5 linked regions of the Nothobranchius furzeri genome follow. The protein of the gene in region 4 interacts with the protein of the main gene of each other region in a biochemical or structural test. Links are inferred from orthologs where the notes say so. Each region holds a gene or a part of one and is shown on either strand. Other genes may lie near its edges.

Region 1 (6,042 bases), on a different chromosome or scaffold from region 4:
TGCTCATCTGAAGAGACTTGATGTGCTTTTACTGCAGAAGGGTGTCACCCGACTGCTGTTGCTACTGCCATGGATGCTGTTACTGAGCAGAGCACCGTTCTCTAGATGGTTACAGTTCTCCAGTGAGAGGAGAAGACACTTTTTGCTATGAATTGTCCCCCTGAACAAAGGTGTGTACGTTGTTTTTTGATGTTTAGGTAAACCTGTGATCAGTGTTCTAAAGATTTAGACTTCTCTGAAAACATCAGTCAGCCGTCAGAAAGCCACAGGATCAAACCCCGTGGTAGGTCATAACCGTCCTCCTTCCTTTTTTAGTTTTACAAGCGTTGTGTTGTCTGAGCTGATCTGTTACCGTTTCTTTAACCTGAGATGTTTTTTTTTTTTTTTTTTTTTTTTTTTGCTGCTGCTGCTGATGTTTAAGCAGCAGAACTGTGCTGAAGCCATAACTGTTCTTGAAATGATGTTGCATTGTGCCGTTTGGTGTCTTTTTTTATATTACCCAAAAAGTTGTATTTTAAAAAAATAAACTAAATTCTTGTGTTTTTTATTGCATATTTAAGTGTGTTTATGTTCTCTTGCAGCCACAAGTGGAATACTGGCATATTAGTGTAGCTTTCATACACCAAGAAATCATTTTTCATTCGAGTTTCTTCCTCTCCAGCTCACTTTTCCTTTTTTTTCCGAATCTGGGATTGTTGCAGGCTCGTCTCCGAGGTCAGCGTTCTAGCAGGTAGAGGCTTTTTCCGCCCTCAGCAAAAGGAGGAACTCGTTTGGCTGGTTCTGACAGAAAGGAAATAAAATCCCGAGGTTTGTCTTTGTCATTCATGGAAAAAGGAAAGAAGCAATTCCGATAACTAGACTTGCTGCAGGAGCCTGAAGAGAATGAAGAGTTTGGTTTCTGGTTCTAATCTGTTTTAGGACGCGTTGATCGTTGTTTCACGTTTTCTTGTTTCTGCTCAAATGAAGATGTTCAGTTTGAATGCACCGGGTTCTAAGTTTTCAGTAAATCTAGCAGATTACAGCCACCTTATCCTAACAACTCCAACATTTGGATGATTTCATATCTGCTGAAAAGAAAAATTGCTGCAGCAACAAAAATGTGTAGTTTTTTTCCACTTTGCACTCGATTTGAAGCATTTTGGACTCTCCTTTTGTCTTGTTTGTGTTGCCGTTTCCACGCGTAACCCCATTTCCACCGGCTCACCGCCCCCACCAGCACATTCCTGTTTTACCTGTACGAGTTGTCATGTAAAGACAGGGTTTCACAACTAACATACCACAAAGTAGGATGACTAAGCCTGATTTCTCAAATAACTACATGCAGACAGTGTTTTTTTATACTGCGCTGAGTTTAGCGTTCGTGCCATTCTGTCCCTTTTTGTGACGATGGGGTGGGGGGATCTTGATGCTGTGGTTTTGTGAGAAATGCAAAAGTAAGAAAATATTTGCCGCTAGTCTTCTGAGAAAAAAAAACTTCCACCAAACGTCCTCTAGAGGGAGACACAGCACAGCAGTACAGGCAGAAAAAAGGTTTTCTGTTCCATTTGAAGCCACAAATGTGTGTTTTCATTCTAATTTTAGATTCTCTCCTTTAACGCGCAGGCTTACGCTTGACTTTCTGAAAAGTTTGCTGAGCACAACATGTAATGGAGGATGGATCCACGGATCGGACTCAGTCGTGTACAAAAATATATTTATTCAAGTTTTCTGGAAATGCAGATGCTTATTTACAGCAGAGGAGCTCATCGACACGTAGGATCAAAACTCAAAAACCTCTCAGGAGTTCTGCTCAGACGGTGAAGTGACCTCAGCTTCAGCGGACGAAAGTCAAAACCCTAGTGTGCTTTATAGAAGCCTCTAAAGCACGCTGCATGGAGGTCACCATCCCGAGGACCACCCCTCCCATCGGCTGAAGAGCATGTCGACCAGCAGCTCCAGCAGGTTGGCCTGGCCTATCACAGGCCTGAAGAAGAGTTCGGTGATGAGGCTGGGTGTGATGCCCTGCAGCATGGAGGCTGTGAGGAGGATCCGAGCAAAGCGCTCCTGGTTGCCAGGGTGAAGCAGCTGGACCACCTCGCTCAGGGCGTGCTGAGCTTCCTGCTGCAAGCCTTCGACAAACAGGCCTGCCTTCAAATCTGGTACATCTGTTTGAGAGAAAACCAGAATTGTTGCTTGACAAACGAGTCCTTGGATTATCTGTTGTCTGAATCCAGTTAACGCAGTACATACCTGGATTAAATATCGTGGTCCCTTTCAGGTAAGCGTACTCCTTTGGGCTCACATCTAGACTCCAGAACTTTTTGAGACACGACTTGAGTTTGCTGATGCCTGCCATGGTTGGCTGCTCCCGCTCTGTTTCAGGGCTCTCCTGGCAGTTCAGGAGAATCTTCTTCAGCATGCTGTCAGCAGGGACGTCCGCCACCTCAAAGTCCACGCGCTCCTGGGCCAAACCCAAAATAAAAAGTGGCACCCAGCTGCTTTTAAGTAGTGCAAACTGGTCACTGGGTGGCAGCTGGTTAAACGCTGGCAAGTTCTTCATGAAGTGGACGGTTTTCACCAGAACTGCAGACGCCTCTTTGCAGACCACAGACGGCCTTTTTAAGCACACTCTCCGCCGCGTCTCACAGTTGCATCTGTGAGGAACGGAACTGTGGCTGGAGGTGTCTGGAGTCGGTCTACCGCTGTCCATCTGGCTCAAGATGTTGTAGAGGATCGGGTTTAACTGCCTTTGTTTGTTAGCGGAACACTGGCATCTGTTATCCATCTTTCTTCGATGCGGCTGCTCCTCTGAACCTCTTCTCTGCCACGACGGGCTCCGTCTGAGCTTCTGAGAGCTGCTGCTTCCTCCAGTCTTATTTATAAGGCCAACCCTCCCTTCTTAGTGGACCTTGAAATGTCAATACACCCAATGTGAAAAACAACCGCGCGCTCTGCCAGGTGACTGCTGGAATAACCCTGGGAAACAGATAAGCTTTTCTCATTGAGAAGTAGCTGCTGGAGTCACACATGGATATCAAGTGGGATTGGCCTTATCTGGAAGGCAGTGTCATCAACCCAGGCAGTACCAAGCTACCAAGGACTGCAGAGGTAATCAGCCCCACGCTGTGTCACTGCACCCGCCAGCTCACACCTGTAGTGCTGGAAGGAGGCCAGACCACAAAGGAGGCCGTTGACCTTCACATCGTGTTCTCATCAAACGTAGTTTAGTTTAGACAAACGTTTCCAAACCGGGAACAGTGGGAATTATGCTTCAATTTTAGGGAAACAGTAGTAGTAGCATAAAACCACCAAATAATTCCCGACCACAGCTGCAGTTCTCCGCTCCCCACGGGGATGGGTCAAATGCGGAGATGAATTTCAACAGTGTGTGATGACTAAAGGAACTATTGAAATGATTCCAAATGACTTCGGGAAGAATATAAAACAAGTTCATCGCTGTAGCGAGCCCCCTAGGGGCAAGTTGCATTGATAGCTTAACCTGTAACTCTGGGGTGGGAACAAACGGTAAAATGTACACTTAATGCATCTAATCCTCAGAAGTCCCAAAGCATACTTCAACCTTATAACCACTTCACCTACTAACCTTTAAAATCGGACCGGCTAGCAGCAACGCGACTCTACCACTGACTCTGTTTGCTCTTCAACGTTGATGTTTTCTCTCCACAAATAACACGAGCCTGGAGGAGGTCTGCTGTGTGGTGGAGTTGCTTGTGCTAACGTTAGCTTCTACTACCTCTCTGCTGTTTCCTGGATGCTAAGCCAACAACAGCCGCGAGTCAAGGAGGGTGAGTCCATGAATGTTAGGTGACAGCGTGGCGTAGATCTGTCAGGCTTTTCAAATCCTAGGTGTAGGAGACTATTTTCATGTTCAGCATGAACGAAACACTCGGAGACCGATTATAATCAGAAATAATAATTAAAACTTTTTTTCAGTGTTCCACACCGTTAATGGATATCCATCAAGATTTGCGTTTTAATTCTGCCTTTTCGATCTTTAACACGATTATTACACAGAAGATTAAAAGGTTGTTTGTGTGATCGTAAGGGTCGTGTGTAAGACCAGTTTTTCATTTGAAACATGCACAGAAGTGTTTGTTAGTGATCTGGAACGTAATTAACCCGTTTTACAAATGTCTGCTTCTATAGTTTCTTTGTTTGCATTTGCTTTTGCCCAGTTCCTGAGTAACAGCTGCATTTACGTAGAAGTTTTTGAACATGTTTATTTTGCTGTCAACACATTTGAAATGAAATGAGGCATTCTAACTGCAGATGTTCCGTTTGTGAGACAAACTTATCTAAAAAAGCATCTTGATCAAAAAAGAAATAGTGTTATTGTTTTTACAAATGTTACATTCTCTTGTTGTTGGCCATTTCACAACTAATCTCAATAATGTACATGTTTTTCTTCAGTTCAGATTATTTATATAGCTCCTAACTCAGCAGACGGCATCGAGTCACTGACTAGGTCTTTGCAGCAATCCTCAAAAGCAAGTGTGTAGCGACAGTGGGGATTGGGAAGTCAGCGCAAACACACACACACACACACACACACACACACACACACACACACACACACACACACACACACACACACACACACACACACACACACACACACACACACACACACACACACACACACACACCAAGTGGTGTTCCTATGGCTAGATTGTGATTTCTTATTAAATATTCTATTTAGTGAGAAATAAACTTTATTGTCTTTATCTGGGTGAATCTAATGGGCCATTCCCATCTGTACCGGGTCGGCCCGGGCCGGGTAGCCCCAGTCGGCCCCAGCCTGGCCCGGTTGATTCCACACATCCTTGCCTTAAGCCCATGTGGGCTGATTCTACCCACCAATCAGAGGCTTGCTCTAATGGAAGGTGTGAATTTGCTGTCAGCAGTGGGTGTGTTGGCCCTGGTCGGCCTGAAGCAGACCCCCTTGAGAAGAGGGCTGAGAATGAGCCTTGGTTGGCCCGGAAAAATACCAGGCCACCCAGATATGTAAACAACCTACGCTACCCGGCCCGGGCCGACCCGGTACAGATGGGAATGGCCCATATAACTGATTCAACAGGTGAACTAGTAGTAGCACATACAACGTTAAAGAGAGTAAAATGTTATTAATAAGAGAGGGAGTATGTTAAGTAGTTAGCAGCAGCATGCTAGCCGGCGGCCCGCTCCATGAGGCCACCACAGCTCAGCAGAACACCGGTGCTCTGCGTTAAGTTGCATCCATGTGCAATCAACCATAACAAATCATTGGATGGCCCAAACACACAAAGGATGTTTGCATCAACCTCAGTTTAGCCAAGTCTTCTATAAGAACATAACAAAAGGGACAGAAAATTAAGCATAGCTTAATAAACATAACAGCATGAACATAAGATGTATTTATTGCCACTACATCACCTTCTGCAGGGCAAACATGAAACATGAATTGTACAAAAGGGTGGTGCAAAGTTCTCAGCTATGAACATACACGTACAACGAAAGGGACAAAAAGAGATTTTAAATGTGGTTGGTTGATACGCAGGTGTGGGTTATTCCTGGGGAAGAAGTTGAGTGGTCTAATGGGATCTGAGATGTTTGTCAGGCTTATGCCGCCTTCGGTTTTATATTATACAGGTAAACCGGCAGGAAAATAAAGATCTAACCAACGATGTTACAAACGGGAAATGCTACAGATAGCTGATTCTCCTTCAAATGCAAATGACAGTAAACTTTGTTAAAAGTTGTGTTGTGCAAAACTTAAAACATTGCAAAGCCTTATAAAATAATCTTTGCATAAAACTTATTTCTTTAACTTTGCGTTGTTTTAAAGTCTCTTTCCGGAGTATTTCTCTTATCCGATGGCACCATCTAGTGGCCGACAAGCATATGACACAAAAACTCTCGCTCTGTTTTTTTTTAGATGGCGATTTCCCGTTTCCGTTTATAAATGTGCTTCTGTAGCCGACAAACAGCTGAAACGTGTTGTTTTACGAGTATTATTCTCATGTCAGGCTGTGTTCTCATTTATTTATATTTTAAAGTCTTACT
Region 2 (6,709 bases), on a different chromosome or scaffold from region 4:
AATCAAAGTACCAGAAGTATGTTTTCACAGATGTTTGATCAGACAAAAATGGACTCATCTACAGTTCATAGATTTTTCAACTGTAAATTAGCTAGCTGTGTGTGACTCAAAAGTAATACAGTGAATTATAATAAATCTTTGCTCATTTTGTGTCAGTAACATACTCGTGATTGCACTGCTTAGGCCCGATTCACACTAGAGGATATTTATTCTGACTTTTTGACCCATTTTTCCCCATTCTGAAAAACTTAAGGACGCCCCCAGTTACTGGAATGGCTCTAAAAATATTCTGAACAGATATTCCTGCCATGTGTGGTTTTAAGAATGCTCTGGTCTACTTGGAAACACTTCGGGGCTGCTCCCACTGCAACACTGAGCACAAAGCAGCATGCTAGCTACCTCAGTGTGTACTGGCATGCATTGACGCACACGAGTAAACTGTTCCGCGCCAATGATGCCTCCAGTGTGAAATGGGGGTTAGCGTAAGGGCTAGAAAGAGAGGAAATGGCTAATTATACAATTTCAATTTTTGTGCAGATATTTATAATTTCGAAAATGTGTGGTAATCGGTAGCCTAAGTCTCATATCATATATATTGTTTGGGCAGTAGGGGATCCATGGACTGGAAGAAGATGGGTGTGACTTAGGCCCTGTCCACACGTAGCCGGGGATCTGCCAAAACGTAGATATATTTCTACGTTTTGGCCTGTCATCCACACTAAAACAGAGTTTTTTCACACGAAAACAGATCTTTTTAAAAACTCCGGCCAAAGTGAAGATCTGCGTTTTCTCCGTTTTGGGTGTCTGCGTGTGGACAGACAAAACCGGAGTTTTAAGGTCCGCAACGTCACTTTCCGCGACAAAAAAATGCTGACATCACGTGTGCGACACTAGCCGACAGCATAGATGCCCTCAGAGCTGCGCTTGCTTTATCAATTGTCCAAGTGCTTTTTGCTTGTTTGTTTTTGCAAGCGGAATTACTGCTCCTTGCAGAAGACCACAGACGAAGGACGAGGTTAAGAATAGGGGAAGTACTGCCGCCTACAGGTCTGGCATGTCCTTAACAACGTATTTATCCGGATACGTGTGGACAGAGTTTTTTTTTAAAACGAGGTGGTGTGGATGCAAGTTTTTGGAGGGGCGGATATCCGTAAAAAAAAAAACCCCGGCTACGTGTGGACTAGGCCTTATGCTCCCTATAGCAGAGTTTCCCAGGGTATAGCAGTCTGGTGGTGGTGGTGGTGGTGGTGGTGGTGGGTGGGGGGTGGGGGGGTGGGGGGGTGGGGTGGGGGGGGCTTTCCTTAAAGTGACAGAACCCTGAAATGGCTCATTCTGGAAGGTACTAAAACGGTCAAGATTAAAACTGCTAGATTTGCTTCATGTCAGAGAGATTTACTGCAAAGAACTTCATGAAAATGTTTTGTATAGCCATAAAACTATTATAAGTAAAAATGAACTCCTAATATGTCCTCTTTAATATTGATTAAAACCTATAAGAGTAAATTATGAAACCAAAATTAATTCATCATAGAGCTTATCATCAAATATAATTAAAAAAACCTAACATTCAGTCATTAGTGTGAAATCTATGTAGATACTAACTTATCAAATCTAATTTTCTTCTTGACTGATCGGTTGCATGGAGAAACTATGATGAACTGAGAGCAAAGCTGAGAGATGAGAATAGCTGCCACGGGAGCCTGGAAGTCCAAACGGAGACAGTGCAATCAAAATGTGTTTTTTCCAGGAGTGTCCATACTTGGAAAAAGAACTGTATGGAAAATAAATAATGGTTGCAATGCCATAGTGAGTGCTGGGTCATAACTGAAAGTAATTGAGTATTTTATGTTGCACATCACACACTGTACGTCACATAACTGTGGAAATATGTGCCATGAAAAGAGGCATGACTAAATAGAAGGATACTTTCAAAGCGGAACATGACAAAATAATTTTAATAATGATTCTTTTGGAGCCCAAAGCAAAATGCGTACTTAATTAATCACACATCTCTCTGTCAAAGTACAAAAGATTAACAAGTACAGAAAAGTTTTATTAGCAAACAACTTGCCAGTGTCCAAAGTTTTGTTTGGTGTCAATAAAAGTTTGCATCTGCAGCCAAAATGTTGCGGTTCGTAGACAGAAAATGATGAAATGATAGCCCTGAAGTTAATAATTACACCTAATTTAAAAATAAATTGACAACCTTAGGGTTAAACCACTTCAAACGCCAGCATTATCTGATGAAACCTAATCAGAAAAGCCTTTTAAAACACTTATTCACTGCATGAAATTAAAATGAACAAAGCAGGATTTTGGCAGTGCAGAAGCAAAAGTGGTTAATTATCTGTGGGTTCATCCAGAGCATGTCATTCTCTTTTATCTGAATGTTTATGCAAAAACAGATGTTTAGACAGTCTTCCTTCCTTTTGCGATTACATTTCGCTCTTAAAACTGTAGGTGACTGAAGTACCTTCCAAAAGGTTGTGGCAGAAAAAGTTGATATTTCTTTCTTTTACATCAATAGAAAGCTTCAAAAATGACAATAAGTGACAAGAAGTAACTTGAACTCTTTAGCACACAATTAAAATAGCTTTATGTGCAGGTGTGTTATCCACAAAGCGAGTGATCAACAACAAAGAAATAGCAACGTATCTTGAAGCACTCCTTTCGTTTACGACAACAGAACAAAGTCCGAATCTGTCTCAGTCATTCATACACACATGCACCAACAAACACATGGACGCACCTTACTCTAAGAATTATATAACCTGATAAATGAGTGATTTAGGGCATGCAGTTGCATCAACGCCTGTATCGAAGCTGCTGTTAGACTTTAAGTCATTTATGTAAAGATTACAGGATGTTTTTTTACCTGAGCTAGTATTACTGATTCAAGCTGCATGAGATTTATGACACCAGAATCCGAGGCAAAACTTTCAGGACTGCACTCAATTTCTTCCAAATGAATAGCTGATGAAAATGCTTGCATTCAAATAAATAATACTTAAAATAAACCAAGCTGCTGCTGTAATAAAAGTAATATTTATGCTTTTACCTGAAGGTGCATTTATAAATACAAAAACACGCCTTGATAATTAATCACTCAATAAAAAATGTATTATGCTTTGTCTCATTTAAAAAAGGACATAATAAACTATGATCAGCTTAGTGATAAACTCGTCCTATCGCATCTGGAATGTTTGATGGACAATTTTGCTTAAACCCAATAATAATTTGTTAACCTTTAAAATGCTATTTATTGATTTAGAGACATTTTGACAGAGTTTGACCTGCAGCAGTTTATTGATAATCAGAAGTACAGAAAACTCGATTTAAAGATATTAGTCTAAATTTTAAACAAAGTTGCTGAAGCTAAATATTTGCCTACATTAAGTGATTGTTTTGTTGTGTATCGCCAGATCACAACTCTGACTAAAATAAGAACAAAACAAGTACATTTAAAAAAGTAACACTAAAATAACGTTCCAAGAAAAAAACATAATACAGAAAATACAAATGACACCGAGCACAAATTTAGTGAGCAAAATGTCAAAAGGGAGTAAAAGGTGATGATTTACATCTGGTAATGCTAAGCATTTATTAAATATTCTGATCATAATTACTGTTTTGACTGATATCTATAACACGTTTCCATTTTGCAGCTTGTTTTCACCATTATCAGTCCCATTAAAGGATAAACCAACAGATCAGATTTATTCCCCACATGAGTTCAAAATTAATTCATCAAAACCCAAAGTGGAAAAAACAGGAGTGACTGTGTCAGTCTACATTATTATAGCTGAGTCACAACTCTTATGTAGCAGTTACTGTAGAAGAATCTACAGTGAATCAGCACATGTGACCCCCCCCCCCCCCCCCCCCCCACACACACACACACACACACACTCTAAAACACTAGAACCCAACAGCAGGCATCACCTGGTCTTACCTGAGAAGATGTGACCACTTAGATGGTGAAAATCTCTGCCTGGTGTTTGCATGTCAAGCTCACACTCGCACTGTGGCCCAGAGACACACTCTGGACCAACTCCTGACGTGCATGCCAGTTGTCAGCCCTGTGGCCGCACCCCCTCTCTATCGCCACCCCCAATCTACGCCACTGGCTACTTGTCACTCTCTAGGAAGTGTCCACCTTAAGTCGACATGTTTGAAAAAAGTAAAACTTTAGTATGAAATCAAAAAGTTAAAAGTTATCCTTATTGTTTTAAAATGACACAAAAACTGATGCAGACACTTAAACCCAGTCTTCTGAATTACTTTACTTTTTATGACGTTTGCAGTGTTTTATTACTCCTAGCAGCCACAACTCCAAGCACAATAAATAGTGAACTCAGAAGGGGGTGACTGACCTGATCAGTGTGTTGAACCGCAGAGGACAGAGAGAGTCCACGGGCTGCGTTTCCGGTGTTGGACCGCACTTTCTCGGTCGTGTTTAGCTCGCCTCCCCCCTGGAACCGGGGGCTTGGGCACCGAACAGCCGCAGCAGTGTGGTTGGGTCCGGGTCCGTTCGCTGTGGAGCGCTCAGCTCCTGCTGCTGCTACGGTGCGTGTGTGAGCCTTGCCTGGTGCGTCTCTCCCCTCCCTCCTCTCGGCTCAACCTCCAGGGATTTAAGGACACATAAAAAGGCGTCAAATTACCTTCTAAAGCTCCGATTTACTTAATCGGATCTATTTAAACTGATTTATTATGCGCAGAAAACACAGGTACTGTTACAAGTTTTTATTTATGAGAGTGGATCTTATAAGGCACCTAATGAGTGAAATAGCATCACACAAAATGAATTCTTTAATCTGGCATCAACTCGGAATTTTTCAGAAAAACTGCAAAATCTTCTAGCTAATCATAAACTAATGTTTTAGGAAACATTTGTTGTTTATTAAGTCAAATATGGCTCAGCATGCACCAAGAAACAACCTATAAGTGTAATAAAATGAATGTATTTTTTAAAGTTGATCTCACCTATCAGCACATCAAAGCTGCATGGAGCTCATAGGAAGCTGAACACATTTTAAATTGTGGTTTGTGGCTAACTAGCCACACTTTTAGCCATGGCCAGCTACTTCCTCATATTAGCATATTTAGTCAAGTTAAAGCTGCAAAGGCAAGTTTGGAAAACAAATTAGCTTAAAACATGTTTCCATGCCCCTTAACAACATTTAAACATAGTATAGCAATACATATTTTGTGGAGAATGATAAATAAATAAATAAACAACTAGTATAGAATAGACTTTTTTTGATCCCACAGTGGAGAAATTCACTTGTTACAGCACCACCAACACTTAAGAGAATAATTTGAAGAAAAATAATAACAAAGGTACATGTACAATACATAAAATATATACATAAAACAAAGTGGTTCTCTTGCATTTGTCTAAAAATCTCCGCCAATACCAATGAGCCGCCCGAGATTTTGAGAAGTCAAGTGGTCACACAGGACACTTCTTGGAAAGTCGCGCGATAGTCACAACATCACACGGGACTTGAGAACAGGAAGCGGGAAGTGACACGTGATCAGACTTGCCATCGTGTTTTGTGACTCAAATTCATTAAAAATGGGTAAGTACGCTATTTATTAGAATGTTTTATAATCAATAGTACTTTAAAGTTATCAAAACTGTGACTGAGTTTGTGTCATAAAGCCGTTCCGCGACATAATGACTGTTGTAAAGTACTCCACAATGTCATAAACAGCCACCGCGCCACTTGAGATAGAACTGGTAGCTGTCTTCAGTGCCTTGGCGCTGCGCTTCTGGGACGCGGCGCTCCCAAGGGGGCCACTCTCATTAAGTATAATGGCTTCTATTTAAAATGACGGCGTGACGTGGCGCAGCCGCCTCCGGTGGGCCCCAGGCTTGAAGTACGGTGTGAGAGGCTCGCTCATATTATCAGAAAAGGTGAAACAGCTGGCTGCTACCACTTCAACTTTCGGACAAACTACCAGAGTCCCAAAAAGAAATACACCATTTGAAGCCACAGCCAACCAAAATATTATGGACCTAGAAAACGATGACCGGTGTTTAGCACTATCTCGTTTCGTCTGGCGTTGCAGGTTTCTGGTTCCAGCAGAAGCATCTCAGGGAAGATACCCAAGGGGAGGGGTGAGTGTTCTGTGTTTTCGTTCAAAACCTAGCTTGTTCTGTAGATTTTCTTTAATAGCTTTAATTTGGTCAAGTTAAAGAGCAAGTCACCCCCAAATCAACATTCTTTTGCTGATGAACTATATAAATGAGTGCCTAATCATGCTGTAGACATGTATAGTCAATAATGTGGCATTTTAGAGCAGCTTAGTTCAATTTAAATATTCTGCCTAAAACCGTCAGTGTTTTGTCATCTTCAGGTAAAAACTCTACACTACATTTGAATTTAAATCTCCCATCGCTATTGGCTAAGAGGTACACTATGATGTTAGCTGGTACATTATGATATCACAGTGTTGTTGTGAGCGTGTGTGTATTTGTTAGCAGCTCCACCCTCTCGGTCTGCCAGGCATCAGAATTTGTTGCATTTTTCAAACAAGAAGTGGGAGTGGAGTAATATTCTGGTAGGGGGTGACTTGCTCTTTAAAGAAAAATTATATACAATTTTCGCTGCACAAGTTTAATGACTAAGGTTACGTGTCTCATCTAACTTTATTTTAAACACATTAATTTACTGTGAAATGTAGTTTTACAAGCTAAATGACT
Region 3 (6,619 bases), on a different chromosome or scaffold from region 4:
AGATATTTTAGTTTTATTTAGCACAACTAGTGAATAATTAGGAATTTGCCCTGTGTAATAAGGTTATGATGTCCTTAGAGCGCGTAGCTTTTGGTAGGTAGTAGCCAACTAGCAACTTCTAAAACCAGCACAAGAATAGTCACCCCAGGTTAGCCTTTCTTAAATGAAGATCTTTTTAAATGTATTATCAACTTAACTACTACTACTACTACTTAATACACAGAAACAGAAAAAAATACATTACGGACAAACACACATCTTAGCGTCACGCAATGCTCTCAAACAGTGATGCACCGGTATGAAAATTTTGGGCTGATACAGATATCAGATATTAATATCACTGTTATGGCCGATAACCGATATTTGCCGATACCAATATACTGACATTAATGCTTCTACAATCAGCAGATTTTGTATAGACTGAAAATTATTAAAGCTGAATTTACATTATTATGTACACACCACACACATTTACGCTTCTGAGATGATTACAACCACTGTCACATGACACATCACCCCCTCACCCTCTGTAGCAGATAAATGGAAACAAGATATCGGTTGTTAATATCGGTCCACTTTTATTTATCGGACCGATATTGATATGTTAAAAAATGACATCGGCCGATACAGATATCGATGCCGATATATTGTGCATCCCTACTCTCCAAGGTACGAATGTATAAAGCAAAATCATTGATACGTTTATTTTATTTATTTATTTTGCCGTTTCTGCCTAAACGTAACATGTAAGCTCACTGGGAGCAGAGGAAAGGAAAACTATGTCAGTGAGAGGTCTGAGTTAGGAGCGCTCACTCTGTCACATTTCGCACAGACAATACAACAAAGATTGTAAAAACGATGATTCACTTTGATCAGTTTTCAAAGCCTAAAACATTTTAACCTTTTTTATCATCAATTCACTTGTACTTTGTATTAACTCATTAATCAAACATTTTCTCATAACGAACTTAATAATTATCTAACGGCATCCCATAAATTAAACATTTCTATCACTAAGTTGTTGCAATTTTGCACAGATAATGTTTAAAGCAAATGAATGCATGATAGGAGATATGTGATGTTCGCAACCTAAGTGATTTATTTATTTTTATTAAGGAGGACCCTGCATGCTTTGGTTTATATCGGCATTGAGCATCCCGAATAATAACCAATGTTTATGTATGTGTTTATATATGTGGAGGGGAAAGGCAGTGGGTTAGCCAAGCGGTATTTGTTTGGGCGTGTGACAGTGATTTTGATTTCTGCCCAAATGTTCACATCGGTCCATCCCTACTCTTAAAATGAGCCACATTATGAATTGTTTAACACTTGGCTGGAATTTACCTGGTGCGATTCTGTCGGTTTAGAACAATTTCACAAAAAATAAATGTCTTAATAAGTAAACTCAATCTGACAGACTGGCTAATATATGATTTTATACAATGGGCGCAAAAGACAGAAAGGATATAAGGCTGAATGTGTACGTTTTTATTTATCAGACTCAAACTGCTTATTAATGCAAGGAAGGATAGTTTAATATGTACAGAGATAAAAAAAAAGGTCATACATCCTTCCTTGGATTGTCTGACATGGTAAACTCCTAAATACTGTGCTAAATTTATCCATCAAGTGGAAGAAAAAGTTTCCAGATTTTTGTGATTTTGGCATCTGGGAAACTGGCAGAAGTTCTCTAATCATTATGTCCTTGTTCTTGTTTACCAATTAAATCTAACAAATACTTGCCTTTTTCTAAACATCACTACTGTGTTTTCTATTTAGTAAAATGTGTGATGTTATATTTTTAAATAAAATTTAATACATATTTAAATATAAATTTATAAATAATAAAGCATTTAGCAGTGATTCACGTGCCGAGTGGAAGTAGGTTGTTGGCACACATTTTCGTTATCAACCACAAACCAAAACACATCCGTGGTTTGTTTAGGCAAGTGCCTCGATTCTTTTTCAAGTTCCAACTGACCTGCGACTCAAATGCCTCAGAGCAACCTGCTAATACACAACCAGTGAGTCGCTGCAGCATTTGGCTCCTAAGTTATTGACGTCAAGCCCCTTGTGATTAAGGGACGAGGCAGGAGACTTAAACCAGCCTGCAACACAGAATTAACCTGAAGTCATATTTATTGCAATCAAAGACAATAGTGACCCTTTGCCAAACACATCTAAAGTGCTAGGTTTCAAAAGAAGCACACAAAAGGGTGAAGTCCCAGAGGGAAGTTGGATACAGTTGACAAAACATCGCTGAGGAAACAACATGATCAGAAAAGAAAGGGAACGCGGGTCAAGAGACTGGAACAGGTTTTAGATCGAAGTCTTCTGCTTCGAAGGCTTTTGTCCCATTGCCAGCTCATAAAACAACCACTTCATTTGTAGAGCCATTTATGTTTGTACAGAGATTTCACAATAAACTGCCACTCAGTGAAAATAGAACTTCATTTAAAAAGACAACAAGGCTGTTTTGGGATGCAGCAAAACAAAAATAAAAAATAAATAAAACCTAAAACATGGCAGGTAAATTTTCCAAAAATCATCATAACCATCAATTATATATGATCTTTTCTAGTTTCTGAATACAACATCACTCAGAGCCAGCTCACACTAGAAATAACTGATTCATAACATTAATGTTTTCACTTTCAAAACCACAAATTTCAAGTAAATTTGATTTTTTTTATTAATTGCAGTTTGAGATAAAATGAAATGGGACCAAAATGGTAGTGTCAGGTAAAAGCTGCCCAATAATCAATAATCATTACTGACCTTAAACCAGAATGAGTGAATTTCTAATAATCTATCACCCATGTCACTTGTTTAAGTAGATCATTTCTATGTTTTGTCATGGCACTAACAATACAGCCATCCTCTTCCCAATGTGCATAAATTGTGCCCTTAAACAGGAACAATAACTAATATTTGGTATAATATGAGCTTTGTGTGTCTCAGTGCACAGTTTAATGCATCTCATTTAAAAAAGCCTAAATTAGTGATATATTTGGAGCAACTGTTGGAGCTATTCTTGTAAAGTGATTTACACATCAATTACGACACATTATTTTAAACATGACAACATTTTTAAATGATTTTTCCATGGACAAAGTCTGTTTGATTTAACACTAGAATACTCTTTGTCAAGATGTCTGGCTATTGTTTTCCAGTAAAAAGACCAAATCATTTGATTAACCAAATGAACATTACAAAAGGAGTGTATGAGTGAAACACCAGATCAGAAAACCTAACAATAGAAAGTATTAATATAACCAGAGTGGTCATTATACATTAAAAATTAGCTTTAACGTTACCCAAAATTTGGGACTTGGGATGAAATCTTAAATCTGTTTTGCCTTACAGTCTTTAAAATTAAAGCAATCAGTATTTCAACAATCCAGGGGCATTTGACTTTATAAGCTTCAACTCTCAATCAAAAGGTTGAGCAAAACCAACTGCACATTGCCTGGAAGTATTTGTTGTGAGGATTAATTAAAACATTTATTTTTGGTAACTAGCTTCACTAATCATCTGAGGTCAACATCCTGGCCTAGAGCACTGTTAGAGTTAGCAGCAACTAATAAAATGTGGAAACATTTTCCTGATGAGCAGAGCTCATCTCCCTAGTGAATTTAGTTACCGGTAAGTGCTTTTCAACACAAGTGCTGACAATGAAGCTTATAATTACTGTGACGTTACACCAAAATTATTTCTGCTAAAACAATGGATCACTTAATATTTTTACTCAAAATCCAATATTATTTTCAGACCGCTCACATAGGTGCCAGCAACTTTTAATTCAACACTATCAGATTAAAACAAAACCTCCCCTGTAATGTATTATTTAATAATGTGCCAAAGACAAAACAAAGGTAAATAACGACCATGTGGCATCGAGGAAATCTCAGTGCCAACCACACAAAATCTTAGTAAGCATCAGCTGTTGTGATCAAAACAAATTAGATAAAAATAAAAGCAGTTAAGTTAATAAAGCTAGCTCAAACTGGCTACTGCTGGTTACTGAAATGTATTAGGTGCTAGCTAACGATGCTAGCAGCACTAGCATGCAAACGAACACAGCAAACTAGCAGTTAACCTTGAAATTAAGGCCGTAATGTCAGTGGAGTTATAGTTATTTAATATAAAATAAACGCTTAAGTTGTCTAGCTAGTTTTAAAACAACATGTCAAAAAACAAAACTGTGACGTTACCTTTTCTTTTCGGGTACAATTCCTGTGTCCATGGACGATTGGACTCGGGTTGAGCCTCTATCTGTGTCAAGCCGTATCCGGGCGCGTCGAGAAATGAAACACAATCCCGCGATTATTAAAAGATGTTAATCCGTAGATCCACAAGTGGTTTACATAAGAGCTAGTGCTGTTTGACTGCTGTCCCAAATGTGAGATCAAACGCTCCAAAACAAAAAAACTTAACTGCTTCTGGGAAAAATAGTGCCACGCTGGATAAGTGCTTCTTTACCGGAGACAATGTTGCCTCAAGAAGGACCGCGCTGGCCCCTCCCACTGTCTCCGCGGGTACGCGCAATCACATGATTTTTTTTACAACAGCGCGCATGTGCACAGGAAACCCAAGCAGCTCATTCACAATTAGGAAAATAAAATAAAATAAAATAAAATAAAATGAAACGAAATAAAACGAAATAAAATAAAATAAAATAAAATAAAATAAAATAAAATAAAATAAAATAAAATAAAATACACGGGATTTAAAAGTAGTTGTGATTTTTTCTTTCCTTTTCCCAAACATAATTTTATTTTATAAATTTAAATTCGCAAACGTGTTTGAATGCCTTAAATTGTCTAAAATGTTGCATGAAAAATTAACTCAAGTAAATTATAATAAAATAATAAAATTTCAGTTGGATTATTTTACAATTTTAAAGAGCAAGTCACATCAAAATCAACCTTTTTTTAAGCTGATAACTAGTATAAATGAGTGTCTAATAGTGTTGTTCAGCCTTGTAGCAGTCGAGGCTCGGCTTAGCCGCAAGTGAGTTGTGCTGTAGTTTGAACCGGGATAGAGTTTGAAGAGCATTTCACAAATTAGTCTAAGCCGTAGTAATTAGCCTGATCCCGCCGACTGCTGCTTCCTCAAAACGGAGATTTTGGGCCCAATTTCAGGTGAGTAAGCTAAATATTTAATTTAAACTGCTTCTAAAGATCATTCTCTACCTGTAATTTTGCAGCTATATTTATAATTACAAAGAGACTTGGACGTGGTTCACGTAATTTAGACAATCAGTCCACGCTGCCGCAGGCTCGAAGCCAATGTTGTGTGTGTTATAATGTCAGACTGGTTCGTGCTAAGTTTTTGTGCCAGTTAGTAATATCAGTGCTGATGCAGAGCAGGAGGTACACTGAAGAGTAGCTCCTCCTTCTGCTAAAAAGCTGACCCGGTTCTGAACTGGTGCTGAGTCTGGTTCTCATTAGAACATGTCTGATTCTGGACCCTGAGTTAGCTCTGAGAGCAGTCCGATCACTCACCAGCCATGTTATAAAGCACATATATTACACAGTTTGTTTTGTACATGATCTAAGTTAGTCAACTCCCACAACAACTTGATGTTATTATAATTTTCAAGCTAAATCTGCCCAATAAATCTTATGTCAGACTGATGTAGTCCTCCACCAGCCTGCACTGGCCCAGACTACAAGCCTTGCAGGTGAGTTATTTTTAACCATCTGTCTTTCTTTACCTTCTAGTTTTAACAACATATAATTATTTTAGCTTGTTACACACACGTGTGTTACTGCTCTTAAAACCAACTATAAATATATTTGCTGTTTCTTTATATTTCACATAGCCTCCCAGCAGCTGTGTGTCTGACATGGGCCCATGATGGGAATTCCACCTAGAGCAGCTTCTACACTCCTGAACAGATCCAGGTGTGGTGGAGAGCTTCTGAGCAGCTTCCATTTGAATGGCAGGACAAGCTCTATGAACTGATCCAGGTAAAAACATTCTAAATAATAATATTGTACTCTGTATTCTGTTTATTTCCTTACACTTCAGCCTGACTGGTCACCACTGGAGAGGAGCATCTTCCCAGACTCACACTAACATCCCGTTTTACCTCAGGACCTCCTGATCTAACAGAAAAATTTGTAGCTCCATCCTTGCTCTGCTTTCCACATGTTTCTCATCATCTCTGAAAGCGACCTCCCATAACACTGTGATGTTATTTTTTTTTTCAGGCTAAATGATCCCAAGAACTCTGCTGTCAGACTGATTGTTGCAGCTACAAATGGCCCAGACTAACATTGCAGGTGTAGTAAAGATGAGTTGTTTTTAATCATGTAATCTTCATTACAGCCTTTGAGTTTTTACATCATCTATGTTTTTGTTTCATAGCTTATTGCTACACGTGTGTTGCTGCTGTGAGCTTGGAGCTAGATTACATCATGACATCATGAAGGAGGCGACTGATTCTGGTCCTGTGACACTTGGTGGTGACGTGTGAGCTGATTCACCTGGTAAATAACTTTTAAATAAAATATTTTGTTTTTAAGCTATCAAAAGTAAATTAACTAGTAATCTGCATTATTGTAGGGCACTCAGCAAAATATGGACGCTACACCATGAGGCAGGCACGCGT
Region 4 (6,078 bases):
GCCCTCCACTTCATCCTGCAGCACCTGGACTCCTCGGGAATCTAAGCTAGGATCCTGTTTGTGGACTTCAGCTCTGCGTTCAACACCATCCTCCCTGCTCTGCTCCAGGACAAGCTCTCCATGCTCAACGTACCCAATTCCACCTGCAGGTGGATCACTGACTTCCTGATGGACCGAAGGCAGTGCGTGCGGCTGGGGAAGAATGTCTCCACCATTCAGACAATAAGCACAGGATCTCCACAGGGCTGTGTACTTTCTCCTCTGCTCTTCTCCCTGTACACAAACTGCTGCACCTCGAGCCATGACTCCGTTAAACTGATCAAGTTTGCGGACGACACCACCCTCATCGGGCTCATCTCTGACGGTGATGAGTCCGCCTACAGGAGGGAGGTGGAACGGCTGGTGTACTGGTGCAGCAGCAACAACCTGGAGCTCAATGCTCAGAAGACAGTGGAGATGATTGTGGACTTCAGGAAAGTCACAGCTCCATCTCTCCCCCTCGTCCTGACGGACACCCCCGTCACCACTGTGGACTCCTTCCGCTTCCTCGGAACCACCATCACACATGACCTTAGGTGGGAGCCATCCATCAGCTCCCTGATCAGAAAGGCCCAGCAGAGGATGTACTTTCTGCAGCAGTTGAAAAAGGCCAAGCTGCCGGCCCAGATGATGGTGCAGTTTTACACGGCCATCATTGAGTCCATCCTCACCTCCTCCATCACTGTGTGGTACGCCGGAGCCACGGTGAGGGACAAACATAGACTGCAGCGCATTGTGCGCTCCGCTGAGAAGGTGATTGGCTGCAGCCTTCCATCTCTCCAGGACCTGTACGTCTCCAGAACTCGGGGGCGTGCAGGTCGGATGGCAGCTGACCCTTTTCACTCGGGTCACAGACTTTTTGAGCCGCTCCCCTCAGGCAGGAGGTTACGGTCCATCCGGACCAGAACCTCCTGCCATAAGAACAGCTTCTTTCCGTCTGCCGTTAGACTTGTGAATAGATTATAAATACACAGCCATGCTGGTCTTCTGCACTTGACACAACATCACGTTATCAGCCATGTTAACACTACCTGCCATTTTTTATAGCTGAAAGTTTCCTTCTATTTTTATTCTATTTTATTCTATTTTTAATCTTATTATTATTCATGTTATATGTAGCACATTAGTACCAAAGCAAGTTCCTAGTTTCTGAATTGTTTGTTCACTGACAATGGCAATAAACCTATTCTGATTCTGATTCTGACTCTGATTTACCGGTCGATCTATGTTCCTACCCTCACCTATGGTCATGAGCTTTGGGTATTGACCGAAAGAACAAGATCGCAGATACAAGCGGCAGAAATGAGTTTTTTCTGAAGAGTGGCTGGGCTCTCCCTTAGAGATAGGGTGAGTAGCTCGGCCATTCGGGAGGGGCTCAGAGTAGACTCGCTGCTCCTCCACATCGAGAGGCGCCAGTTGAGGTGGCTCGGGCATCTGGTCAGGATGCCTCCTGGACGCCTCCCTGGTGAGGTTTTCCAGGCACGTCCAACCTGGAGGAGACCTAAAGGTAGACCCAGGACACACTGGAGGGACTATGTCTCTCACCTGGCCAGGGAACGCCTTGGGATTCCCCCGGAGGAGCTGGCCCAAGTGGCTGGGGAGAGGGAAGTCTGGGCCTCTCACCTTAGGCTAGTGCCCCCGCGACTCGACTCCGGATAAGCGGATGAAAATGGATGGATGGTGTTCAAGTTATTTTTGTAAACATTGTAGAGTTTAGGGAATTGAGTGCTTAAGAGCTCAATATATATATTACCTCTACTTGTGACCAATAAGCTGTGATACTCTATCTAAATATAGAATATCAACCCTGCTTGGTCTTTGTGTGTTTATCAGGATTTATCTAGGATTCTTTATTTATTAAGGGATTGTACACACTTTGTTTTGATTCAGCAAAGAGTCAGGTTTATAAAAGTAAGAATTTATTTTACAAACAATTAAACATGACAAGTTAACTAACATTTGCTGTGAGTGGATGGAACTAGATGTGATGTATGAAACCTATGGGTGAATGTGGTGTTATCAGAACTTCTGGATCTAGGAAAGCTGAGTTCTGGATGTAAAAGAATTTGGGTTGCACTAAGCTATGTAGTTGATCATTATCAAAAAGCACATTAGATGCTATCTGTGTGTCTACTTCACCAATTCTGGAGACCCTCTTGGTGGGTCCGAAAATCAGAGAGGTCGGTTGACCTCTGGCGCCGAAGGGCTGTAGAATACCGTGGCACCGACTCTTCAGTCCAGAGTTGTCTCGGGTCATGACAGATGGATGGAACCGCGTGTCTGGGACTCTTAACCAGTGTTAATTTTGACAGGAAATTTTAATTTTATTTTAGTCTTAGTCGTTATAAAACGAACCGGTAAAACATCTGTGCGGGCTCGGGACTCGGATCATATCAGTGCAAACCAGACATTGTGAAAATTATAAACAACCAACAGCATGCTTCACTCTACTGGTCTAGTCCTGGTTTAGAGCGCACGTGTAGCGAGCGGCTGCGACCCAAAAAGTACCAGAACCGCTCACGGTGCATGCGCAATCATGCATCAACACTGCTCGCCCGCTATTTCCCTAATAACACACGTTATAGTCGTGAAAATACAGTACTTCCGAATTTTTATCCCAACATGACAGAGTTGGTACAGTTTTATTTGCCTGTATGTTACTTTTCGGGTCGTCACGTGTACAACATTTAAGTGGATTTACCTCGGAGAAAATGGCGAAGTGGCCATTCTGTAGATGCCTCTTCAGATTTGTTGTGTTCTTTCCTCGGAACGACAGTCCACACTCTCGGCATGTAGTTTTGGTAGCAATGTTATCATAAGAAAATTGACTCCACACATCTTCTCTTCTTTTTCGCCCAGCAGTTAACATTTTCCTCTACTCCTTCTTATGTCGTTGTTTTGTTATGTTGTTATGTTACGTTATGTTTTAAAGATGTACATTTAAAAAAAATACTACTGTTTTCACAGCAAAATTATTTTATCTGTACAGTTCTGTTTTGCACAAAGTAGATAGTAAAACTGAATGAAAGCATAAACATATTGTTTTATTCTTTATTTTTATTATAATTACTAAAGCACTATAATTAAAATAGTATGGAAATATTCTAGATCAGCATCATGAAGCAAATGTGTGGCCAAATTATATACAGTTAGTTTTCTGGAAAAGGAATGAAATGTCCCAGTGTGTGTATGCATGAGTTTTATATGCATGAAAAAATATTTGTAAATTAATTATGATTTATCATTGTACAGACATGCCTCGTAAGGAGAGGAGGCGGAAGCAGCGACAGAATGAGCTACTTGAGGCAGCTAAAGGCAGTGGGTCCCTCACCAGCTGGATAAAAAAAGAATACAGGTAAGTTGCATCACAGCAACAAGTGTAGAAACAATAATATACACAACTGCAATGTTTTGATGCCAGAAAATGTTTTTGTTAGCCTCTTGATCATGGATTAGGTGCAAGACCTGTTAAATGTGAATAACTACATACCGTAAATCCTCTAATACAGGCCCGGGCCTGTATTTGACTCAAGCTCATCAAGCTCCAGGCCTTTATTGGAAAGAGGGCCAGAATTAGAGGCAGGCCTCTATTTCTATTTGAGCAAAATGAACTAATGGTTCGCTGGAGTTTTTGACAATTAAAATTGTGCCCACATTTTCAAAGTTAAACACATTTCTTTTAACAACGGTAGTTTCTGCTTCAGCCCTCTCCCCCCTGCCCCTGCTTCAGCCCTCTCCCCCCTCCCCCTGCTTCAGCCCTCTCCCCCCTCCCCCTGCTTCAGCCATCTCCCCCCTCCCCCTGCTTCAGCCATCTCCCCCCTCCCCCTGCTTCAGCCCTCTCCCCCCTCCCCCTGCTTCAGCCCTCTCCCCCCTCCCCCTGCTTCAGCCATCTCCCCCCTCCCCCTGCTTCAGCCATCTCCCCCCTCCCCCTGCGCAGCGGCCGCAAACTCACTGATGCGCCTGCAGCCTCTCAGAGTTCCTGCTGCTCTAAACATTAAAATAATTATTTCATTTTCTGTTCCTCACTTCTGATTACCTTCAGTGGTGTCTGTTTGTTGCAACCAGCAGGTACAAACACTAACTTGTTTTTATTTGACTATTTTTCTGTCCTGCCTGTTTATTATCTTCCTGCATCTCCTCTCAATCCTAAAGAAAAACTGCTACCTGGGTTCATATATATTCACCTTATGAGTTACCTTTGAACTGCAGTTCTAAAAGATCTACCGACCGCAAAAACAGCGGAGTGCTCGCTGCTTGGTGGCAGCGTGATCGGTGCTTCACCGGATGACAAGGTGATGCGCCCCGCTCCACAGCGAAACGCATCAGGCGCAAATAAAAGACAGAAAACATTAAAGGAAATAAACCGACATGAACAATCGCGTGTTAAATTAGTTTTTGAGGTGGCGACACCTGATTTGATAATGTTACTGTTGCCTTGCGCAGGAGGCAGATCTACCGACCGCAAAAACAGCGGAGTGCTCCCTGCTTGGCGGCCGCATCAGTGATCGGTGCGTCACCGGAGGACAAGCTGATGTGCCCCGCTCCACAGCAGCAAAACACATCAGGCGCAAATAAAAGACAGAAAACATTAAAGGAAATGAACCGACATGAACGATCGCGTGTCAGTACCGACGCTCTGGCACAGCGCGTTGCCCCCCCCGAGCGCAGGAGCTTGTCACCTGCTGACAGCAGGCTGCTGTCTTTTCCGTGGACTGCATCTTGCCGGTCATTATCACGTGACAGCGACTAGTCAATGACAGGCATAAAAAGTCACTATAGTGAAGTCGACTAGTTCATACAACCCCTACTACTGCTCCCCAGTGTTCTGCAGCGCACGTTCTCTTTGACCTTGATATCAAATTTTCGCCTCCTCTTCGTCTCCGCACGGTTAAAGTTACCCTCGCGGTCTATCACTGGCAAATCAAAAGTGACACAACCGCCCCCCGTACTTGCTTGTTACCACATTCCACCCGGCCACAATAAGAGACCGGCCATTATTCACCTCCGCCGGCTCAGACACCGGCCAAAATATGATACCCGGCAGTTACTTGAATACAGGCCAATATTAGAGGATTTACGGTAATTCATTCATACAATAGCTAATTTTGCCTTGTTCTCAGATGGACAGCAAGTGGAGAGTGATAGATCACATGAGATTGAAGACACACACAACTCTTTCTGTTTATATTTCTGTCGCATTCTTATCTCTGACATAAACTCCTCTATTATCCACTAATGTTTAGATTTCCATTTATTTACAACAGGTTTTGTCTCAGATATTTCTGTCTTACAGTTCTAAGAGTTTTCACCAATTTTTGCCATTTTTTTTATTATCTTACATTAATTTTGTAATTGACTAACATTTCTCCTCTGTTCGTTTTACTACCTACAGTCTGAGATCAACACAGCCTTGCCCTCCAGCATCACCAGCAGCAGCAAGAGGAGCAACCCTGCAACAGCTACATTGTACCCCATCATCAGGTAAAATAGGACAGCAACAGATCAGGAGGTGGAGCAGGTTGTCCAGTAATCGGAAGGTTGCAGGTTTGATCCTGACTTTAATCAGAGATTGATGCTGTTGTGTCCTTGGGCAAGACACTTAACCTGCTTTGCCTGCTGGTGGTGGTCGGAGGGACTGGTGGCGCCTGTGCTCAGCAGCTTCACCTCTGTCAGTGCGCTCCAGAGCAGCTATGGCTACATCATAGCTCATCACCATCAGTGTGTTAATGTGTGTGTGAATGACTGTGTTGTAATGTGCCTTGGGGGGTTGTAGAACCCTAAGAAGGCATTATACAAATACAGACAATTTACCAAAACTAGTTACTTTTGCTTTACATTGTCCTTATGTGGTATATAATGATTCACTTCCATTTTGAATTTCTAATAAATATGATTTGTTATTCAGCCAGGTATACTGTGGTTATGTCATGGTGTTTGAAAATATTATTCTGTGTGCCCCTTTTTAAATATGAGCACCCGCCCCTTCAAAGGTCTCTGCACAGCCCTGACCCTAACTGACTCCGGTTTTAACTGTGTGCT
Region 5 (6,589 bases), on a different chromosome or scaffold from region 4:
ACGCTGCTGACGGACGTGAAGCTGCTGTAGCTCCTCGCTCCATTTTCGCTAGCTTTAGCATTTTTCCTTTGCGTGTAGCTGCCGCCACGGCTGTGACGGGACCTACGGGCCACCGTAGAGGTGAAGGCTAGACTGTCCGAAGTCAGAGCCGCTGACTTCCGGTTTTAGCGGTCTTAAAGGACCCGGCCTTGCTAGACCGGCGAGGATCCATACTCATAAGCATCCTTCCCGTGGATTCGGACACACCCCAAGTCTGGGATCCCAAAATGACCTCAAGTAATCCTGGTTCATTTTTCATTAAAAAAATGGTTTAAAATTCTTACTGAAGAGACATGATGTTCTCTTCCCAACAGGAATTAGAAATAGTCTGCAAACAGCATCCACGTTATTAAATTCTTCTGTCATGTCGGTTACACACATTAAAATCACCTCTTGTCTTGTTTTGCTCACTTCATTCTACTTTTGACAACCTCATCTGGTAATCGTTTTGCAGCATTTCATTTAAATGTTTTCATGGTTCTAATACAACTAATCACAGTCAAGTAGCGGTGATCCTACCCACTGGACTGTCTGGAAAATGAATAGCAACAAAAAGCACTGCAAAGAAGACAGGATCAACCTGTGCAATCAGCCTTATTACAAATGTGTGCAAATTAAGGCGTAGCTTTGCGTGGTAGGATAAAGTGTAGGTCCCGTTCTCACAAATCTATTTTACTTTTCTGAAATTGTTTTTTCCTCAAACTTAAAAACTTCCCCCCATAATAAAATATTTTATTTTATGACATTTATTCTGAATATTAAAAAGTGGAATTTGGAGAAAAAAGATTAAATAAAGTATTTCATAGGTGAATAAATGCAATATTTATTAAAACTTGTGAATAAATTACAACCTCGGGCCATTTTCAGTTTGATCTTTTACCTTTCATCATCGTTTTAGCTCAGTTTGATGAACTTTAATGTGTTTTGAGTTAATAGTATTAAGCATATTGCATAGAAAAAACCCAACAGCTGCCTGCATAATAATTTACTACACAATTTATCTACTACGTTCAACAGCCAATAAGAACAGCCTCTCCCACTGACAAGACTTCAAAGCATCATTGGACTCTTGAGTGTTAAGATGAGCACATGACATGCTCCCGCACACTCCAAATGTTCCCAGCATTGCGACAAATTTTCATCTCAGCCATATCACGTTCAATCAGCGACAACCTGACACTTACTGTCACTCACAGGACCATCAGTCACTTAAACGTGGTCAGTCTCTACCCTTCTAAACTACAGGTTATAGTTTAATAAAGGCACTAGGCTGAGGACATGAAAAATATTAGAATGCACTAAAAATATTTAGTAGGACAGCAAAGGGGCCCCGACACACATGTTGAATATAAACCTGCCTGACCAATTCATTTTTCTATGACTGCAGAAGTCCTATCTTTTTGGCTTTAACATGATCATCATGTAAAAAATAACTATTTGCAGTCTGGCATGAGATTTATCCCCTTCTAAAAATAAATGGGATCACCTGCAATGTTTAATATCATGTTAATAAGGAGAGTCCCTACCTTGTTCATGGCTCCATGCTGCTGGGCTCTGGCTCCAACCTGCCCCCCTGCCCCTTGCTGCTGTAGAGTGTCAGCCAACAGGTTGCTGCCACCAGCCATCCCCTGATTACCGAAGCCCATCCTGGGGGAACCATTCATCACCTGGTTTCCAATCATCCCTGGCTGCTGCTGTCCGTTATTGCCTTTCTGCGGCACACCAATCATGCCCCTGTTAGCCATCATTCCACTCTGTTGTTGCTGCATCATGTTGGCCTGCTGCTGAGGAGAAAGATGCTGTTGTCCCATCATCTGCTGGGGCCCTTGACCTGAGGGGGCCTTCATGTTCACCAAATGTTGCCCCATGGCTGTGGGGCCTCCTGGGCTGCCCATGGCTCCTTGATGCCCCTGTTGACCAGATGTGGTTGGCCCCGTTCGTAAAAGCTCAGACAGTTGTTTGTGCTTAGCCACTGCATCTTGGCCTCCACCAATACTTGTGGGGCCCCCTCCAGGACCAAGTCCAAGCCCCATTCCTCCTACTGCTCCACTTCCACCTCCTGCACCCAAGCCTGCAGGTCCTCCTCCCAAACTGGTGTGCAACTGGTTGAGGTCCCCACCATTGACCAGACCTGGTTCATTAGAGCTGATGAGCTCATCTGGGAGGTCGTGCTCCAAATCAAATAGTGAACCAAAATCTGAAAAGAATAAATACAAAGTTTAAGAAGATCATTTGAACTGAAGGACAAAACTTCCAAAGAGTCAATTCCATATTGAGCTGATATACTCCAGGAAGGGGTACACAACTGTCAACAATAGGTAATGGAAAAAAACCCACCCATGATGACAAGTTTAACAACCAAGCTCAAAACTAGAAGTGACTTTCAAAGCTAGTGGCCTGGTACAACAACTACACACAGCTTAACCTGATGGGGGAATGGAGAGGTGAAAGCATCCCGTACTTCTACAAATTATTAATAATATTAAAATAGTTGATCAAATCAAGTTAAACAAAATGTGCACAAGTGTAATCAAAACATCCATAACATCAATGATCAGCAGAAACAGTCATGTGACTCAAATTAATGTTTTGGTCATAATAGATGGACTGAAAGACTTATTTAGAGGTTTTGGACATTTAGCTGCTTTTCACTGTTTGCTGATGCTTCACTGAATCCCATCTCACATTTTAACCACTTATTCTAACTATGACACAGCTAGAATCACCAAGTGATAGAATAAAAACCATGAGTCTGTATTCAGCTAGATGCATGCTTTTCAGATTTGTACTTAAGTTTAAATAGCTTGTGTCAACGTCACTCCTAACGCTTAGAAAACAACAATCTTTGGAAGAATAAATGGCATCCCAACACGAGGAGGATTTTTCTTATAAAGCACTGCAGCGCTCTCAAAACATCATGCAACGTAACAAAACGTGTGTGACGTCTGGAGTATTTCTTCATCGATTCAATGACAGATTAGTGCTAGACAACCAAAGACGAAGCCGATCATCGTAAAGATGACAACAAATGATTACATTTTATGTGACAGAGAATCTAGTCAACGTGACTCCCTGGCTAATGTCTGTTATGGCACGACGCTATCCACGCTCCGGTTTTTCTTCTTAGGCCGTAATAGCCAATACATTACGCCATTAACTACTATTACTTTTTTAAACTATACTATATCGAGAAAAATAAGTTCAATAACGACTTAAAACACTGGGCCTGAAGATAGACTAGCCTAAATGTTTATTAGTACCCTCTGTTTTCGCTAACATTATCAACGAGTTAGTTTGGAAAACAAGATCCTCTAAGACGACGCTAGCCTAGAAATCTCACAATTCGCGGCTTTGTTAGAAAATGACTAACAGTGTGATATAACTATAAGACAACAAAGACTTCAGAATAAGGCACATGAACACTGAGCTCACAATCAGTCCGAATAAAGTGGTCATTAGGAACGGACAGTTGTGGACTCGGTTAGCCTTGTGGCTAGCAGCTATCTCAGGTGTTGTGCTAAAAATGGCACATCGTTGTAGGCAAACGCATTTGATGGTAGTTTGATTAATTACTTAAGTGGAAGTCTGAAGAAGAAAGTCAAAAGAAACAATCAATTTAGTATGTTGCTCAATTAAATTATTTACGGGTCGTATTTTGATATATGGATGTGTGTTAGTCAATGTTTCAGTATGGCAATTAACCCATCCCGTGGAGAGTAGCAAAATGTTTCTATAAGTATCGGTATTTTTGCAAGTTTCGAAGATAGTGTAAATTTAGTGGCTGAAATTCCTTCCTGGTCAGAAAGAGGCGAATCCTAACATCAATTTAACTTAAAAGCACACAAACTGCATCATTAAGCTACATCTTTCTTTTATCTAGTCGTCAAATGAACTGAAAACCATATATAAATTTGTCACTTTTAACTTGTTAAAATTGAAAACAAGTCAACTTCCCTTAATGGTGGTGCGTTTCGCGGCAGGGGAGCTCATTTCGGCACAACACCGGCTAAAATGGCTGTTAGCATGTGAGCTAACATCCCTTCCTCACGTCCGACACACACACGCTAAAATTAGCAAGCCACGACAAAAACAGAAGAACAAACCCGGGTCTTTGGCCTCTGTTATGCAAACAAGTCACTAAAAAAGGATAATGTTAACGAATATTTCCGTTACAAATGATAAAATAAACCAAAACTTACCATCGCTAGCGGAGGCAGAAAGTGCCGGAGAGGAGAGTTTAGGCCTCTTTGCTGAAGGCGGGCCAGAGTCCAGAACGTTCTCGGCCATATTTTTTCGAAATAAAAATATATAAAGTCTCCACAATTGCAGACGTTTTCACGCCCCTAGAAGCTCATTCCTTTTCGTTTCTAATATTGCGACTTTTCCCCCTCCTTTTGGGGTACTAAGAGGGGGAAAGTCCCGAGTAGAAATTGCTCCTCTTTCCCTGGGTTCGCCTCTCGATTTCAGCCTCGGCGTACATCAACCCCCTCCCTCCCTCGTCGGATTTTTTGTTCTTTATAAATTTCTGCCAGCGGAGGAGCAGGAGGAAGGGATCGGCGAAGGTAAAGACGAGGGAGACACACGCATCGGCTTCGCTCCGTAAACTCAAAGCGCCTCTTCCGATGCAAATGCGCTGTCCCCGGGTGTCGCCTCCATGGCTGCATCCGTCATTTCAGCCTCCTTTCCAACGGAGTTAGGATGAAGATAGTGTCGAGCAGAAAAGGCTGCGAAGTGACGGTGGTGGTGCTGCTGGTGGTGGAAGCGGGTGTGGAGGAGAGGATGTAAATAAAAATATATACATCAGTTAAATCTGCATCTGTAATCACAAAGTGTTTTAATAATAGTAAAACATAATTTATTTTCCAACAACCCAAGCTTGCATCACCTCCTTGTTGAGTTAAAACTGGAAAGACTAAATTTGCATTTTGTCAAACAACTTTGGCACAGGTTGTCTGATTTATCAGAGTTTTGTTGGTTAGTTTTGTTTTATTAGATCTAGACACTTTGCGAACAAATGTGACAATACAAATACAGAAATCCATGCCTGGTCCTTCTGGAAAAGTTCTAACCAGATGGTTCAGACATTTTACACAACCCCTAAAATTATTTATCCCCACAAGTAAAAACATTACCCTTGCCTTGTTTTTCAACCATAGGTTTAAACATTGATTATATCAAATGATTTATTTTGTGAAAAATTATTTCCGCACTTTAAAGGATTAACAAAAAATAAAATGGCACAATGGCTTTATAATAAGCATAAGACAGCTCTCCATTGCCCTGGCAGCTCTACATTTCCATGGTCAATGCATGTCCTCTAAACTTCTGTCTGTTTTCAAAGACTGTATAACTCGGTAACTCTATACCATGCATTGATTTGTGTACTCCAGTGAAAACACCCTTAATTCCTTTATTTAATATATATATATATATATCCTGATCTCTTTGACCAGTCATCAAACAACTCACATTAAAGTCCAGGAACAAGCATTGAAGCTGTAGATAGTCAACACTCCTGCTCACTCACAGGGGAAAACTCCCAAACTAAGGCTCTTGATTTGTGAGAATTTCCACATTTGCAAGGTTCCTCATCCTGTGCATAACTCCAGAGTGTAAATGGCTGTGAGCAGGTGGATTGTCAACGTCACTCATTCAGTTGCATATAAGTGGGCGTTAACCCGGATGTGGACATGGCGTTGGCATTCCATCTGGCTTGGCGTGTTGCAGCAAACCAAACTTCCACGTAAGTGCGGGTATTTTGACAAAAATTGATTAAATAAGAATGTGTCGCCCTAACAAATGCTTGTACGTTTAGTCTATGGTCTTGCTGTGCCAAGCCTCTGTGTGACATTACTTTGATTGCACCCCATGGCAAGAGGAGCAAGGTATTTGTTCTTTTCTGTTTTGTTGCTCCTGATGTTTGTCAGCGATTGTCTTTAATTTGTTTGTAAATTATGTATTTTCAGTTTTCACGGTGTTTGCACAGTGATTGACACCAGGTGCTCGGTGCGATTCTGGGAATGAGATGTGTGCATCTACAGCCTGACGAAAATAAAAAGTTGCACCCGTCAAAGCTCTCCTCCTTATTTCTTTTGGATGCCAAGGGGCAGCAACACAGAGTATGAGAGAGTTCAGCCCATGTCTACAAGTTATTCATAAACCAACTGGGTCTGGTTGGTATTGCTTGACCTCACATCAGTTTTGGCTTTTTTTCTGTCAGCAAACTGACATCTCTACATCCATAGAGCCAGTTTATGATGCTTGGGTTTGGCCAGCCTGGGGCCCCAACCTCATCTGTTCTTTAACTCAAAACATTCAATACATTAAATTTCAACCAGTCTTCCAGCAGATGGGTGTGCCAATGAGGGCATAAACAGCAAGTGGCATAGCAAAACTCTTTCACGTTGAGCTTGGCTAGACCCCTGGAGGCCCAAATACCTGGTGCTTGTAGATAGGCCCTACTTTACACGTATAGGCCTCGAGCCACAAGTCTCACCATATATAGGGCTTTCACATCTGGGTCGCGCAGGCCTAGCCCTGATAAGTGAAT

The links.
Region 1: the proteins of hdac3 (region 4) and nr0b2a form a complex in vitro, tested with the Homo sapiens proteins (2 studies listed by BioGRID). The link is inferred for Nothobranchius furzeri from reciprocal best matches to the Homo sapiens genes HDAC3 and NR0B2.
Region 2: the proteins of hdac3 (region 4) and pparg form a complex in vitro, tested with the Homo sapiens proteins (3 studies listed by BioGRID, with this or other methods). The link is inferred for Nothobranchius furzeri from reciprocal best matches to the Homo sapiens genes HDAC3 and PPARG.
Region 3: the proteins of hdac3 (region 4) and hif1aa form a complex in vitro, tested with the Homo sapiens proteins (2 studies listed by BioGRID). The link is inferred for Nothobranchius furzeri from reciprocal best matches to the Homo sapiens genes HDAC3 and HIF1A.
Region 5: the proteins of hdac3 (region 4) and ep300a form a complex in vitro, tested with the Homo sapiens proteins (2 studies listed by BioGRID). The link is inferred for Nothobranchius furzeri from reciprocal best matches to the Homo sapiens genes HDAC3 and EP300.

What each region holds. Positions count from the first base shown.
Region 1 is NC_091745.1:40,692,871-40,698,912, reverse strand, and holds nr0b2a (nuclear receptor subfamily 0 group B member 2a), read right to left. Parts: upstream 3,204-6,042; 5' UTR 2,765-3,203; coding exon 2,230-2,764; intron 2,145-2,229; coding exon 1,879-2,144; 3' UTR 1,677-1,878; downstream 1-1,676. Other genes in the region: kdf1a (keratinocyte differentiation factor 1), read left to right, coding at 1-11. UniProt on the Homo sapiens protein: Transcriptional regulator that acts as a negative regulator of receptor-dependent signaling pathways. Specifically inhibits transactivation of the nuclear receptor with which it interacts.
Region 2 is NC_091743.1:63,418,705-63,425,413, reverse strand, and holds the start of pparg (peroxisome proliferator-activated receptor gamma), read right to left. Parts: upstream 4,306-6,709; 5' UTR 4,005-4,305; coding exon 3,953-4,004; intron 1-3,952. UniProt on the Homo sapiens protein: Nuclear receptor that binds peroxisome proliferators such as hypolipidemic drugs and fatty acids.
Region 3 is NC_091758.1:31,055,459-31,062,077, forward strand, and holds the start of hif1aa (hypoxia inducible factor 1 subunit alpha a), read right to left. Parts: upstream 4,476-6,619; 5' UTR 4,247-4,475; coding exon 4,215-4,246; intron 1-4,214.
Region 4 is NC_091741.1:31,110,348-31,116,425, forward strand, and holds part of hdac3 (histone deacetylase 3), read left to right. Parts: intron 1-3,291; 5' UTR 3,292-3,293; coding exon 3,294-3,394; intron 3,395-5,431; coding exon 5,432-5,520; intron 5,521-6,078. UniProt on the Homo sapiens protein: Histone deacetylase that catalyzes the deacetylation of lysine residues on the N-terminal part of the core histones (H2A, H2B, H3 and H4), and some other non-histone substrates.
Region 5 is NC_091756.1:27,986,804-27,993,392, forward strand, and holds the start of ep300a (histone acetyltransferase p300), read right to left. Parts: upstream 4,465-6,589; 5' UTR 4,327-4,464; coding exon 4,239-4,326; intron 2,237-4,238; coding exon 1,566-2,236; intron 1-1,565. UniProt on the Homo sapiens protein: Functions as a histone acetyltransferase and regulates transcription via chromatin remodeling. Acetylates all four core histones in nucleosomes. Histone acetylation gives an epigenetic tag for transcriptional activation.